Lonchura striata: one gene and its partner. The protein of the gene in region 1 interacts with the protein of each later gene in a biochemical or structural test. Links are inferred from orthologs where the notes say so. Each region holds a gene or a part of one and is shown in the gene's direction. Other genes may lie near its edges.

Region 1 (7,689 bases):
ACTTTAATTTAGTAAAGTTGCACTAAAATTCATAATAATGTTGTGCCCCAGAATCTGGTCCTGAAATATACATGTTGCTTACCCAGCGGTAATTTTGTTATCAGTGCCTTCATCTCATTAAAGGAGAAGCAAAAATGAAAATGAAAGAAATCAAAAGAGAAATTTAAAATTATTTAAATTTAGAAAGCTTCCAAGCAGAACCAGAAGGATCAATGGGAGAAAAGTTTCTAGGAAAAAAGGAACAGAAAAAAGGGGAATGATGAAATCCAAGGATACAGGGAGGGAAAAGAGAGAAGTGAGAAGAGTAGAAACAGGGAAGTGGCAAAATAAAAGGAGAAGCTGCTGTTTTAAAGAAATGGGAAATGTAACTTAAGAAACAAAGCAAAAGAGAGCAGGGAATAGGATTTTTAAAGGAGAGAATAAATTAAGAGTAAATGGCTATTGATGGAGAAGGCAGTAAGGAAAGAAAGATAAGCTGTGGAGAGAAAAACAAAGAGCAAAATAATTTTATCTTCAGTGTTAAAGAATAAAAGCTGTTAAAACACAGCACCTATTTCCCTCCACAATACATATATTTATCTGTTCATCTGCTTGAGAGGTATTAAATATAAGAGAGTGGCAGCGTTTGCCATACAGTCTCAGTGAAAGTCAGTTTTCTAACCCTGTGGTTTTAACTTCCATTTTTGGACCTTTTCAGTCCATAGAGATCCAGCTCTTCCAGAGTGAATTTTGCCCTTGCTCCTGTAGGCTTGGATGTTTTTTATTCCCTTTTTGGAGAAACCTATGGAAGTAGCCCACAGATGCTCAAAGAGTCCCCAGACAGCTGCTGAAAAACTCTGGGCAGGGTGAAGGTGGCTGATGCTGCTTCTGCTGCTGATTGCTCCCATAGTTCCAGCAGTAACAACCTACATGCTGGAAAAACTAGTCCCGAGTTTCACCCCTGGTGTTTGTACAGTGAGATGGGAAAATTATCTCAAAATTCCTGCATGTTTTGGTGAACAGAGGAGTCCTGCCACATAGATTCAGACCTGAATGTAACACATAGCAAAAATGATTATGAAGGTTAGTTCCCATCACAGAAGTAGAGAGTAATATTTCAGGCAGAGTCAGAAAACCTGATTTTGTGCAGATTTTACCACATGATAACTCTGAATTATGGAAATCTGTTTCTCTTATATGTGCTGTGCATTGAAAGTTTTGTCTTGTCAGGGTTACAGTAATTTCAAAACTTTATACAATTCAAACCACAAAACACACAGAGAGGCAGTTTTTACTCATGTTATCACTACACATTTGATTTATTTAAATCTCATTATATTTTCATCAGACTGAACAGGTTTAATGGAACTGTGTGACCAGAAATTAGCACATGATCTGGATGGGACATGGAGATTTTTTTTGTGTTGCTCTGACTGATGTCCTGCAGTAGCATAAATGTTAGGACAAGAGAAAGTTTGTGCTGTGAGACTGGGGGTCTGTTCCTCTGTATGTCTGTAGCTCTTTTTAATAATGAGACAGCCATATTTTAATTTTAATCCAATATCCACAGTGTGTGAAGTAGTGCCAAGTGATATGGAGGCAGGACTTGGTCAGAAAGAGATAAAGGAAAGAATTCTTTTCTGCACACTGGAGATTGCTGGAGGGCTGCAAGGACCACGCCAGAGGTGGTATTCAGCCTGATTTCTCTGCAGAGGGAAAAGAACCCAGTACACACCAGTCTGAGTGATGAGCTGCTGTACCTGGCTTAAGAGAAACAGCAGTTAAGATCGTGGATGTTACCTCTGTCAAAAAAATGCTGTTTCAGGGGATATGTCCCCTGCAGTTTGTGATGAAAGAGAGACATGGATTGGAAAAGGACCGGTAAATGTTCATGGGGAGGCAAATGAAAGATATTTTATGAGATGGAAAATTAAACTGGCAAGAACATCAGAGTATCTGGTGGCTGTACTGGGTGTTACTTTAACTTCCTGATAGTCTTAAATTTTACTTTTTTTTTTTTTTTTTTTTTTTAACTGGGGTATGATCCAACTGAGATTAGCTTAACTTTGGTTTCAAAAGGAATCTGGATAAAACCTATACAACACAGTGGAGCTGGGTTTATTTTTCACTGTGGTTTCATTTTCTTTTTTCACTGAAGACTCAAGCCAGGACATGTTTCAGTGGCCTAATCTCAAATGCGCACAGGAACATTTCTCTGTTTGCTTTGCAGGGAGGAGCTGGCTCACTTCAGGACAAGTTCAAGAATGAACACAACTGGTTTGATGTCAGATTTTAGTGCTGGCTGCAGCTCATGGGAAGTAATGGGACCAGCATTGTGTAGCAAACAAGTAGATGCCAGTGACCATCCACAACTGGATAACAATGCTTGGATTTCCAAGGTACTTCTACCCACACGGAAGGGGAGAACTGCTTTTTTTTTTTTTCCATTATTCTGCAACACTGCTCTGTTTAGCTGAAAATACTTTAAATACATTCCCACTTCTGATACAGCTGCCTAAATAAATAAGGACAGACAGTTGATAAATTTCTGTCATAATTGCAGCAGACACCTGTTCTTGGCCACTAAAACCAATGTTGTTAACACATTTCCACAGTGCTTAAAATTTTCCAACCAACTATCTTTTGGGAAGAAATTTTCCACATTTGGCTTCTGCTTGAGAGGAATTTTTTTTTCTTCTAGGCTTGAGAAAAAGTGCCAGCTGTCCTTGAGCACAGCATGAATTATAAAATTGTGCCTCTGAAGTAAAAAGAACTTATTAGGCTGTAACAAGGTGAACTGAAAAGCTTTCTCTAGACCCTTCTGAAAGTTTTTGCCTGGCATTATACTTGACATTGATTTATCTAGATTAATAAAAATGCAGCAATAACTATGTTTTGATAGAGCTAAGAATGATTTCTCTATAGGTGAGTGAAAAAGAAAAAAAGCTTGCAGCTCACAGGAGCTGTAAATGGAGTGCTGCCAGGTAGGTCAGAGGAGTTCACTGCTGCCCTGACAAAATGCACTTCTTTGTTTGCAGAGAACAGGCTGCGACTGCACCTTCCACAGGAGGGAAGCCCACGTCACTACCCCAGACTCCTTCCTTTCCCATCAGATCAGGATTTTTCTTTCAAGAGCAGGCAACTAAATGCGGAATAGGAGTGTTAATTTTGCAAAGTTACTGGCACTTGGACATTAAAAAAAACTAAATTTATTACTCCAGACTATGTGGCCAATATTATATCTATCTATATCTATATCATCTATATCTATATCTATATCTATATCATCTATATCTATATCAATCATCTATATCTATATATATATCTATATCATCTATCTTTCTATATATATATACACACACATATATATATCCAGACCATCACAAGCACACAGAAGGGAGATACAGAAGGACTTTCAAACTACTAGTCTCTATTCTACTAATTCTGTAAACTACTATTCTACTACTAATTTGTATTCTTCACAAAATGCTCCAAGTAATAAAAATATACCAGAATATACCACTCAAGACTTATTACCTATTATCAAAACTGATATATTGAACATTATAAAATTAATCAACAATTTGGAGCACTTGATTGGGATATGCATCTTATATATTAAGGTATCCATTTCATGTTGGTTTACTTACAATACAATGTACTCAAGCATGAAATGTCCTGGTCTTTTCAAGTCAAGTGCAGAGGCTTGAAGACTGGCTTAATAACAAGTTTGCATATATTATATATTAATTATTATAGTACTGGATGATTGCATGCATTTGTCTTTGTAAGCTTTCTGTGTCTCCCCCAGCTAAATGTTTTCTTTGATGTTTTGGTTTTTGTTTTGGATTTTTTTTGTTTGTTTTTTAAACATCATATTTTCTAGCACTTTGAAGGCTGTTAGAAGGTAATTTCTGTCTGTTAACAAACCAGAGGGGGAAAAAAAAGAACTAAACAAAAACCCCTTTACCACAGCCACAACTGTATTTCCCTCTCTGCTGTAGGAATTCCCTGGTTTTTCATGAGATTATAAGGAAATCGCATGCTGCTGTGTTTTAAGAAAAGTTTTAAAAAATACCCTAACAAAACAAACAAAACCCCCAAACAGTGTTATTTTTAGCTGTCTATAATTTTATTAATTTACTCTTCTCAGAGTAAAAACGAAGCTTTCTCCTTTATGTGAACGGAACTTTTAGCTGTCATCTAAAGTAGCGAGGGGAGGAGGAGGGAGAATGAGAGAAACCGGGGAGTGGGGGGGGGTCATGAACAGTTTTTTTTCCTCTAGAGAAAGGTCAGTCCCTTCGAAAAATACACAATTACCAGTTTTTTTTGTTTGTTTTTTTTTTTTTTTTTTTTTTTTTTTTTTTTTTTTTTTGTCGCTAGAGGGACTTTGATTTATTGTCAGAAGTAAAATAGCCCGGAGAAAGAAACTCTCGGAGTCTTAATAGAAATAAATAAATAAATGACGGGGAGAACGGTGGAGACGGAAGGAGAAGGGGTCTGTCGGGGTGCCGAGGGATGCTGCTCGGCCCGGCTCGGCTCGGCGCGGTGGTGGTGTCGTTCCGTGCCGTGCCGTGCCGTGCCGTGCCGTGCCGGCGGGGAAGCCTTGCATCACCGCCACGGCCCGCTTCCCTCCTCCCTCTCTTTCGGAGAGGCTATTAATAGCATGACATCAGCCAGGGACTCGCCGCCAGAGTAAATACCAGCGCTGCCCGCTCGGCTATAAAAGGGGGGTGATGCAACCCGGGCGAGCGGCAGAGGCGCGGGGAGCCGAGGGAGCCGCTCCCGCGGGAGGCGGCGGAGCAGCGCGGGCGCGGCGGGGCTGCGGAGCCCCTTCCCTCCTGCCCGGACGGCGGCGGCGGCGGCAGGAAGGTAGGTGGGAGCAGGAGAGGAGCGGCCGGGACTGCCCGTGCCGGCGGGACGAGGGGCTGAGCTCCGGGAGGGCTGTCCCGCCGCGGAGGGATGGATGCCCGCCGGGGGACCCGCGCTGCTTCGCCGGAAAAAAGTTTCGCCGCCCCGGGCGAAGTCGGGCGCGGTGGTTCCGCCGCCGGCCGTGAGCTCCGGGAGAGCCCCCGGCCCCGCCGAGCTCCGCCGGAGCCCCTCGGTGCCGTGCCGGCGCTCACATCTGGGGGAACCCCTGCCCGGGCTGCCGCCAGATGTGAGCGCCGGGGGTGCCCGGCCAGCCCCGGTGTCCCCGGGCCGGCAGCGCCGCTCGGCACCGCGCGGTGGCGGCCGCGGCGGGCACGGTCCCGGCTCCCGGGAGCCGCGGGATGCCCGAGCGGAGCGGCCGCGCCCGGCGCTGCGGGCGGCCGGCGGCGGCACCGCGGGCACCGGGACGGGGAGATGCGGCGGGACAGCCCAGGCGGCGACAAACCGGCGCTGCCGCGCGTAGAGTCGTCGCTGATGTTCCCGTAAACCGACCGGGAACTTCTGGTGACAGCCGGGGGATACCAACTCTCCTTGCTGTCCCGGTGTCTTGACGTGAAGTAGATCAGTTGCTGAACTGTTGCCTAAGCAAATCAGGCGTGACACAACGGACGGCTTCTTTCAGAGAATGAGTTTCCTGGTGGAAATCGATTTTCCTCCTGGTAACAACATTTGAGAAGCTGGAAGGCAGCAGAAAATGGTTTGGGAGCGATGTGCGATGTCAGAAAGCTTAAGGTCAACTAGCGTGCACAGAGGTTGTGAACTGTAATTGCTCTTAAGGCTGTTTAAGATTAACCTCAGTGGTTATCAAGGTTTATTGCATCAGCACCAGAGGAAAAGGAATTTGTATGAAGAAATAAAACCAAGAAACATAGTCAGCCATCTGCTGTTAAGCAAGAAAAAACTGAAAGTAGTCACTTTCAATATTAAAATTAAGCAAGCATATACTTAATTAATGGAAGTGCACGGCTAGGAAGCCTGTTTGGATTTTAAAATCTTGGCAGATGAGATGTAAAAAGTCATTGCAGATTAAAAGAATCATCTTTAAAACAACAAACAAAAAGCAGGGGGAGAACGAATGAATAGAGTTGTTTGAACCTACCTGAATTGGGAGGTTTACTATTCATATTGCCACGAATAGTAAAACTGTTGAGAATTTCAAAAGTAAGGCTAAAGCACTGAAGCATTAACTCAGCCCGGGAACAAGCTGAGCCGGCAGCAGTGCAGGGCTGAGAAGTGTTCAGCACCTCCAGTGGCAGTAACTGCAGAACATGTGCGTGGTCTAACACAGTAAACAGAGATTGTATCAGAAAGGCCACGACGGAATCACACTCTAAGGCTTGATATTCTTATTCCTACTGTTTCCCCAGCCTTCGCAAAGCCAGAGGAAATGAGATAGTGCTCTGCATGGCCTTTGGACAGAGGGACAATTTGTACAAAAGCTGGGACAAGGAAGGGCAACTTGTTGCATTTTTTTTTTTTTAATAGTAAAATTGAATTTTCCTATTTGTAAAACATTTCTGAAAACAGATTTGTTCCCCAGAAACTGTAAAGCATCTACCTTCCTGGAGCAATTAGAGGTGCATTTCAGGATGATTGGGAAGGCAGTGAGCTGTCCGGGCAGGAGAGCAGCAAATTCCTAGGGTCAAGGACACTTTCTCCTGCTCTGGACACCTGACCACTCCTTTTTTGCACACTAATGACAGGTGGGTGAGAGAACCTGAAGCCATTATAGTAGGGTTTTGGTGGTGTTTGGGGTACACTTACACTAACTACTAGAAATCCACAATTAACACAATTTCTCAGGCACATTCTTGGTTTCCTCTGGTGCTGCTGCTGACCTTAATTAAAAGTTCACCTAAAATGAAAAATAATTGAATAAAGCAGCAGAGCTTGAAAATTATTAGCCCAACTAATTATTTGGGAGGTTGGAAAAACAGTTTTACTGTTACTTTAAGACTCCTGGATGGATTGAATTGTACAGAATTAACTTTGTTGAATGAAGCCATCACCAGCATTCAAGTACACTGAGTCAGTGAAAATAACTGAAATTTCTGCTGGCAGTGAGGGGTTCAGTGTCATCTGGAATTAGCCTGTTTAAAAATTAATTGAATGGTTGAATGTTGGCAAATGGCAAATAATACTGGGAGGGCTTCAGCTGGAAATTAATAGGGCCATTTCTGACTTGCTGGGAAAGAGTAACTGCTAGCTTTCTGAGATTATAGGATTAAACTGTATCAGTACTTTAAATGTGACTCATGAGCAGGGGCTTTCTGAAGAGAATTACATAAATTTCCCAAGGTCTTTCTGAATAACAAATTGTTCCAAATAATTTCCCCATCTTGAATAACTATGGGTGAAATCCTGGCCCCATTGAGGTCAACAGAAAAAGTCCTATTGATTTCACTGGGGCCAGGATTTCACCCTGAGACTCTGGGAAATGTTCAGCTCTTCCGTGGTGGCTGGGTGAGGAAGAAGTGAGGAAGACTGCAATAGGACCTGATACTTTCCAGCAACAGGCAGTTAATTCACTCTGCTCTGGTTTTTGTGTTTGGCTCAGCGATCAACCAGGTTCTATTCTCATTTGCACCAGTGTGGATTTACAGTGTATTTTTAGATATCTCCAAGCAAATTCTATCTTCTTCTCAGGGCACGTGACCCCAACATTTCTTGCTGGGTTCCAGAAGTAACGTACAGGGACCTGTGCAGTTCTAAGTTGATCATGTGGAAATTTAGCTTACCCACACTGCTACCCTGAGGCAGCTGTTTGCTTACCTGCACTAA
Region 2 (6,539 bases), on another chromosome or scaffold:
TGATCCCAGCTGAGCACACGGGGGGAAGAAACAGCTCTGGGTGTGCCTCAATTCTCCCCCCTGGATGGATGAAACAGCTGCATTTTGGGGGGGAAAACTGATTTTGTGACTTGTTTTGAGCAGGTTTGGGGTTTGTACAACTGGTTCTCATGGTGGAGCCTCTGCCATCGCCACTGTACTGAAATGGAGTGAAGAACATGCTTTTATAGACTTATTTTTTTAATGTTTCTAGAACTGGGTGCAGTGGTGAGTGAGAATAAATCTCCAGCCTCTTCCAGCCGCCTCCCTCTGTGTGTCTGTGATGCTGCCGGGCCCTGCCCGACCCGGAGCCCTTCCCTGAGCCCTGGGATCAGGGAAAAAACCCTGAACATTCCATTTCCAGCACCGGCCACGTCTTCTCCGTGGGGCTGCTCATCCCAGGGAGCCAATTCCAGGGGATGGGGTGATGTGTCCTCCCTCCTGGAAAACTCCTGTGGCATTTTAACAAAGCCCAGGCTGTGTCAGACTTTCCCTTCCCGACCTGCTCCCTCCCTTGGGATCCCTCCAGCCACAGAGGCTCCGTGTGCTGTGGCTTCCCTGCTGGAAAGGGAAACAGCTCCAGCCCTGCTGGGATTTAAGGTCTTTTCTGGCAGGAGAAATCCCGACTGCAACAATGGGACCTTTGGCTCCAGCTCGGGGTAGAGTCCTCCAAGTGCTCCTTATCTCCTGGGGTCAGGTGATGGAGCTCGTTAAGTTCTGCATTTGTTTAATTACACCACGGGCTTTAGCAGCATTCCCTGCCTGCTTCCCCCTTTTCCTTTTTCCACCTCTGCAGGGATATTTTTGTCCCCCCGCAAAGGGCAGCTGGGTGGCAGGTGGCTCCGTGGAAGGGCGCTGATGTGACGCTCAGCTGTCACTTCGGGCTTTTCTGCCCCAAAAATGAACATCTGGGGCTGTCACTGCCCTGTGGCAGCGCAGGCAGGCTAAAAACAACAACGAAAAAAAAAAAATATTAGAACAGGGAGGAGCGAGATAAAAGCAACAAGCAGAGAGGAGGAAGAAAAGTCTGAGCCTGGCTGCCGGCGTGGGTGGGCGCAGAGCCTGGGCATGGAAAGACCCAGCAAAGGCCGCCCTGGAAACCCTTCCCAGGATATTTTGGTGGCAGTGGAGCTGGTGGCAGCCCCGGGTTTGTGTCTCTGACCGCCCCACGGTGACTCAGAACTTCTGAGCCTCGCCGAGGAGGCAGCACAGGAATAGTTACACACCAGCGACGCGGAGGGAGTGGCTGCCGAAATACTTCAGGGCTGTGCTAAGCAACTAAAAATACACGTCAAACCCTCCTCCTCCTCCTCCTTTTTCCTTTTTAAATCTGTTTTCTTTCTCTCTTTATTTCTTTTTTTTTTTTTTTTTTTTTTTTTAATTCTTGTTTTTGCCTGTCGGGGGCCCCTGGGAGTTCCTCGGGGACAGGGGCAGGTTTGGGGACAGGCACTGGCAGCTGTGACTTCTTGTTTTCCCAGCTCGGTTCCTCTCTCCCTGCCTGTGGCAGTGACTAAGAGGCAGCTTCCCCTGCGTGCCCGGCGAATCTCGGGGTGCAAACCCTGCTGCTTCCCTTTTCCACGAGGAGCTTGGCACGTGGATGCACCCCACGGGCACCTTGTGTCCAGCCCACGTTCTCGGTGTCCGGAGGATCAGCCACTGGTGTCGCGGAGCTGGTGGCACTCAGGGGACAGCCCTGGTGGCACCGCTGGGGACATCAGGAGCCCTGAGGATGCTCTGGTGGCCATGGCCTCGCTCGAGGCTCGTCGTGGCGCCTCGCCCGTGGCACGGGCTCATCCCAAATCCTCGCCGCCCGCTCCGGGATAAATCCAGCCCGGTGGCAGGACACCGTGACTCAGTGGGGCTGAGCCGGGAACGGCGGCTTTGGCCACCCCGCCGTGGGGACGGTGGCACTGCCACCCGTGACCTCCCCACGGCGGAAGGGGTCACTGATTCACGCCCCTCATTAAAAGCTCATTAAGGAGACGAAGCCGCTGGCTCGCCGCAGGCGTGGGGTTCTTGCTTTGGGGACCAAGGGACGCGCAGGATGAGCAGCAGTGGTGGCAGGCTGGCAGAGCGGGTGGGGGGACGCAGCGGGACGAGCCCCGGGGTGCTGCCACGCCGTGCCGGTGGCTCGTGGGTCACATCCCTGCCCGCTGGCCAGCCGTTCTTCCCGGGATGCCCGGGAAGACCGGCTGGCTGCTCCTTGGGACGACCAAAAGCACCGCCAGCCAAGGATTCTGCTCGCCCATGTGGGTACCCCCGTGCCCATGTGGGTACCCCCGTGCCCATGTGGGTACCCCGGTGCCCATGGGGTGCCCCCGAGCCGGGCTGGGACCGGGGGGAAGGGGAGGTTTTTTACCTCCCTGTCCCTCGCCCGCCGGGTTTGGTCGGGATGGAAAGTCTGAACCTGCCGGTCCGGCCGCGGCCGCGCCCCTAATGAGGGGTTTGGAACGGAAACGCGGACGGCGGCGGCTTCACCGGGGAGCCCCCGGGACACCGGGCCTGGCACCTGCGTCGGGACAGGGGGGGACGCGGAGCTGTGTCCGCGCTGCTCCAGCTGAGGATTAATAAACCGCGTTGATTCGGGCTTTAATTAACAGTGATGGCAGTCGTGCCTCAGTTTCCCCGGTGCCAGCGCTGTGTGGAGCGCTGCCGCAGCCCCGTCCTGGCTGTCACCCGTGTCCCTGTACCGTGCCGTGCCGTGCCGTGCCCACGGGACGGACACACCGGGGCGGGAGCTCGTGGCACCGGGAGAACCGGGGGTGGGGGACGGGACTGACACCGCGGATTTATCGCTCTCGTTAGGCGGGCGAGCATCTGGCCGCAATCAGCGCCGGCTCAACGTCAGCCGCCCCGGTGTCCCGGTGTCCCGGGCGGCGCGGGGGCCGCATCCTGCCCGGTGTGGGGGGTTATCGGCGGCCACCGGCGCTGCCTCCCCCCGCGCCGGTGATGACGCCAAGCGCTGACGCCGATCCGCCCCCTCAGCCGCCCGCGGGCTTGGCCGGCCGTGACGTCTGCCGCCGCCACCGCCGTTAACTCCTTCCCCGGTGCCGCCCGGTGTGACCGTGCCGGGACGGTGTAACCCCCGCCCCGGTGAGCCGCGGCTGGCCGTAGGAGCGGCTGTTCCCCGGGGAAACCCCGGTGCCACCGTGACAAACGGCGCGGCGGTGGCACGGCACGGAGGACACGCGGTGGCACGGGGGACACGCGGTGGCACGGGGGACACGCGGGACCGGCGGCTGTGTCCACTGCCCTGTCCCGGTGTGACCCTCACCGGTGGTGGCCCGGCTGTCCCCAGGGGTTCCCGTGCGGCCCCGTGCCGGTGCCTGGCCCCGTGCGTTTATTTATTTATTTATTTATTTATTTATTTCTGTGTCGTGCCCTTTGTACAGCCGGGGCCCAGCTCGGTGCCAGTGCCCGGTGGCCGGTTCCCGTGCCCGCTCCCAGTCCCGATTCTCAGTAGCCAATTTCCATGCCCGGTTCCCATTCCCATTCCCGGTGCCTGGTTCCCGGTGCCCAGTTCCCAGGTGCCCTGTGCTGTTCCCGCGCCCGGCTCCCGGTGTCCCATGCCCGGTGTCCCGTGCCCTGTGCCCAGTCCCCGTGCCCGGTTCCCGGTGTCCCGTGCCCTGTGCCTGGTCCCCGTGCCCGGTTCCCGGTCCCCGGTGTCCCATGCCCAGTTCCTGGTGCCCTGTGTCCCGTGCCCGGTTCCCGTGTCCCGAGCCCGGTTCCCGGTGTCCCATACCCGGTTCCCGTGTCCCATACCCGGTGTCCCGTGCCCGGTTCCCGTGCCCGGTTCCCGGTGTCCCATGCCCAGTTCCCATGTCCGGTTCCCGGTGTCCCGTGCCCGGTTCCCATGCCCGGTTCCCGTGTCCCGTTCCCGTGCCCCGTTCCCATGCCCGGTTCCCGGTGTCCCGTGCCCAGTTCCCGTCCCCGTGCCCGGTGTCCCGTGTCCCGTTCCCGTGCCCCGTTCCCATGCCCTGTTCCCGTGTCCCGTGCCCGGTGTCCCGTGCCCAGTTCCCGTCCCCTGTTCCCGTGTCCCGTGCCCGGTGTCCCATGCCCGGTTCCCGGTTCCCGGTTCCCGCCCCTCCCTTTGTGCCCATCAGCCCCGGCGGGGCGCGCGCCGCGGGGGCCACGTGCCCGCCCCTCCCCCGCGCTGACGTCATCCCAGGGCCCCGCGCGCTGTTGTCCCGTTTACCGCCGGTCGCCGCGGCGACGGCCGAGGGGGCGTGGCCGGGAACGGGGCGTGGCCTCCCCGCCCCGCGGAGGCGGTGCCACGCCCCGTATGCAAACGAGGGCGGGCGAGGACGTCATCTGCAGCCAATGGGGGCTCGGCGCGGTGAGGTCACCGCGGCGGGGCCGCCTATTTAAGGCGGCGCGGGGCGCGCGGCGGCGGCAGAGCCGTGTGCGCGCGCGCAGCAGCGGGGCCGCGGCCGGTGCGCACCGGGCGCCTCCCCCGCCCCCCCCTCCCGCCCCGCGCTCGCCCCGGTCCTTCCCCCCCCGCCCCGGCGCCGTTTCCCCCGCAGCCGGGCGGGGGAGGAGGATGGAAACACCCTTCTACCATGATGATGTGTTGAGCGGCCTCGGCAGCGGCTTCGCCCCGTCCTCCGGCAGCAGCGGGCTCCTCCTGCCTTTCCCCGGCGGCAGCATGATGAAGAAGGACGCGCTCGGGATGGCCTTACCGGAACAGGTGGCGGCGGCGCTGAAAGCCCCCGGCGCGGCCAGCGGCGAGGCGGCGGGGCTGCTGGGCTCGGCCGAGCTGGGGCTGCTGAAGCTGGCGTCGCCGGAGCTGGAGCGGCTCATCATCCAGTCCAACGGGCTGGTCACCACCACCCCGACCAGCGGCCAGTTCCTCTACCCGAAAGCGGCCGCCTCCGAGGAGCAGGAGTTCGCCGAGGGTTTCGTCAAGGCGCTGGAGGACTTGCACAAGCAGAACCAGCTGGGCGGCGGCGCGGCGGGGAGCGGCGGCGGCGCGGGCGGCGGCGGCGGGGGAGGAAGCGGCGGCGCGGGCGAGCTGCCCGCCGCCGGGATGGCCCCGGAGCCGCCGGTGTACGCCAACCTCAGCACCTACCCGGCCGTCAGCTACGCCGCCGATCCCGGCCCGTTCGCCGCGCCGCCGCCGCGGCTGCCTCCGCCGCCGCCCCCGCCGCCGCTGAAGGACGAGCCGCAGATCGTGCCGGAGGTGCCGAGCTTCGGGGAGAGCCCCCCGCTGTCCCCCATCGACATGGACACGCAGGAGCGCATCAAGGCGGAACGGAAGCGGCTGAGGAACCGCATCGCCGCCTCCAAGTGCCGCAAGAGGAAGCTGGAGCGGATCTCCCGGCTGGAGGAGAAGGTGAAGAGCCTCAAGAGCCAGAACACGGAGCTCGCCTCCACCGCCAGCCTGCTCCGCGAGCAGGTCGCCCAGCTCAAGCAGAAGGTGCTGAGCCACGTCAACAGCGGCTGCCAGCTCCTGCCCCAGCACCAGCACCAGGTGCCGGCGTACTGACCCCGGGCGGGCCCGAGCCCGGGCACGGACCGAGGGGTCCCGGGCAAGGAGCCGGGGGAGCGCCCGCCCTGCCCCGGGCGTGGACCGAGGGGAACGGGGGGGAGCGCTCACCTCGCCCCGGGAACGGACCGAGGGGTCCCGGGCACGGACTGAGCGGAGCGGGGGAGAAGCGCCCGCCCTGCCCCGGGCATGGACCGAGGGTCCCGGGCACGGAGCGGGGGAAGCGCCCGCCTTGCCCCGGGCATGGACCGAGGGTCCCGGACTGCGGGGTCCCGAGGGGAGGAAGAAGAGCGATGATCGCCCCCCTCCTCCATCTCCCCGGACACGGACTGAGGGGTCTGAGGGGAGGACCGGCACCGGACCGCGGGCACCGAGCGCTCCCCGCGGACGGAGCGGCGGCGGGTGGGGGGGGTTCCCCGCCGCGCACGGACTGAGAGGGGCCCGGGCCGCCCCCCCCGGGCCCCTCCGCGCCCCACACATTCCAGTGAGGTCCCAGTAAAACCCCGCGACACGGAGAATTGGCCTCTCGCTGTTTGCTGCGCCCGGGAGGGACGGGAAGGGAAGGGGCGGCGCGGGCAGGAAGCGGCGCGGCCGGGTGCCATTTTGGGGTGGGGGGGGGAACGGCGACCGGGGGGGTTTGGGGAGTTTTGGGGGGCGATGGGGAGGGGGGGTGAGGACCCTCCATGGCTGGCAAAGAGGCTCTGGGAGTCCCTGGAGAGGGTGGAGGGCGAGGGGGTCCACGGGGTTGTGGTTAGTGGGGAGGGGGATGTTGTGGGGAGGGGGCGGTGAAAGGTTGGGGTGTCGCGGGGGCTGTGGGGTTATTTGGGCTCTCTTGGGGGGGGGGGAATATGGGCATATTTGGGCTCCCCTGGGGCTGAGGGGGTCCCCATGGGTGAGGAGGTGGGCGAGGGGACCCCAGGGCTGGTCCTGGCTGTGGCTCTGCCCTGCCAGACCCTCTCCGTTTTTTTTTTGGGGGGGGAGGTCACCACCACCCCCCCTGTCCTGGCCCCCAGGGTCACCCCCATGCACCCAGCGA

What was found.
Region 2: the proteins of ATF3 (region 1) and JUND form a complex in vitro, tested with the Homo sapiens proteins (2 studies listed by BioGRID and IntAct, with this or other methods). The link is inferred for Lonchura striata from reciprocal best matches to the Homo sapiens genes ATF3 and JUND.

Annotation. Positions count from the first base shown.
Region 1 is NC_134605.1:11,855,281-11,862,969, reverse strand, and holds the start of ATF3 (cyclic AMP-dependent transcription factor ATF-3), read left to right. Parts: upstream 1-4,677; 5' UTR 4,678-4,851; intron 4,852-7,689.
Region 2 is NC_134630.1:7,010,563-7,017,101, reverse strand, and holds JUND (transcription factor JunD), read left to right. Parts: upstream 1-4,516; 5' UTR 4,517-4,558; coding exon 4,559-5,503; 3' UTR 5,504-6,021; downstream 6,022-6,539. Other genes in the region: uncharacterized protein LOC110478460, read left to right, coding at 6,161-6,288, 6,517-6,539. UniProt on the Homo sapiens protein: Transcription factor binding AP-1 sites.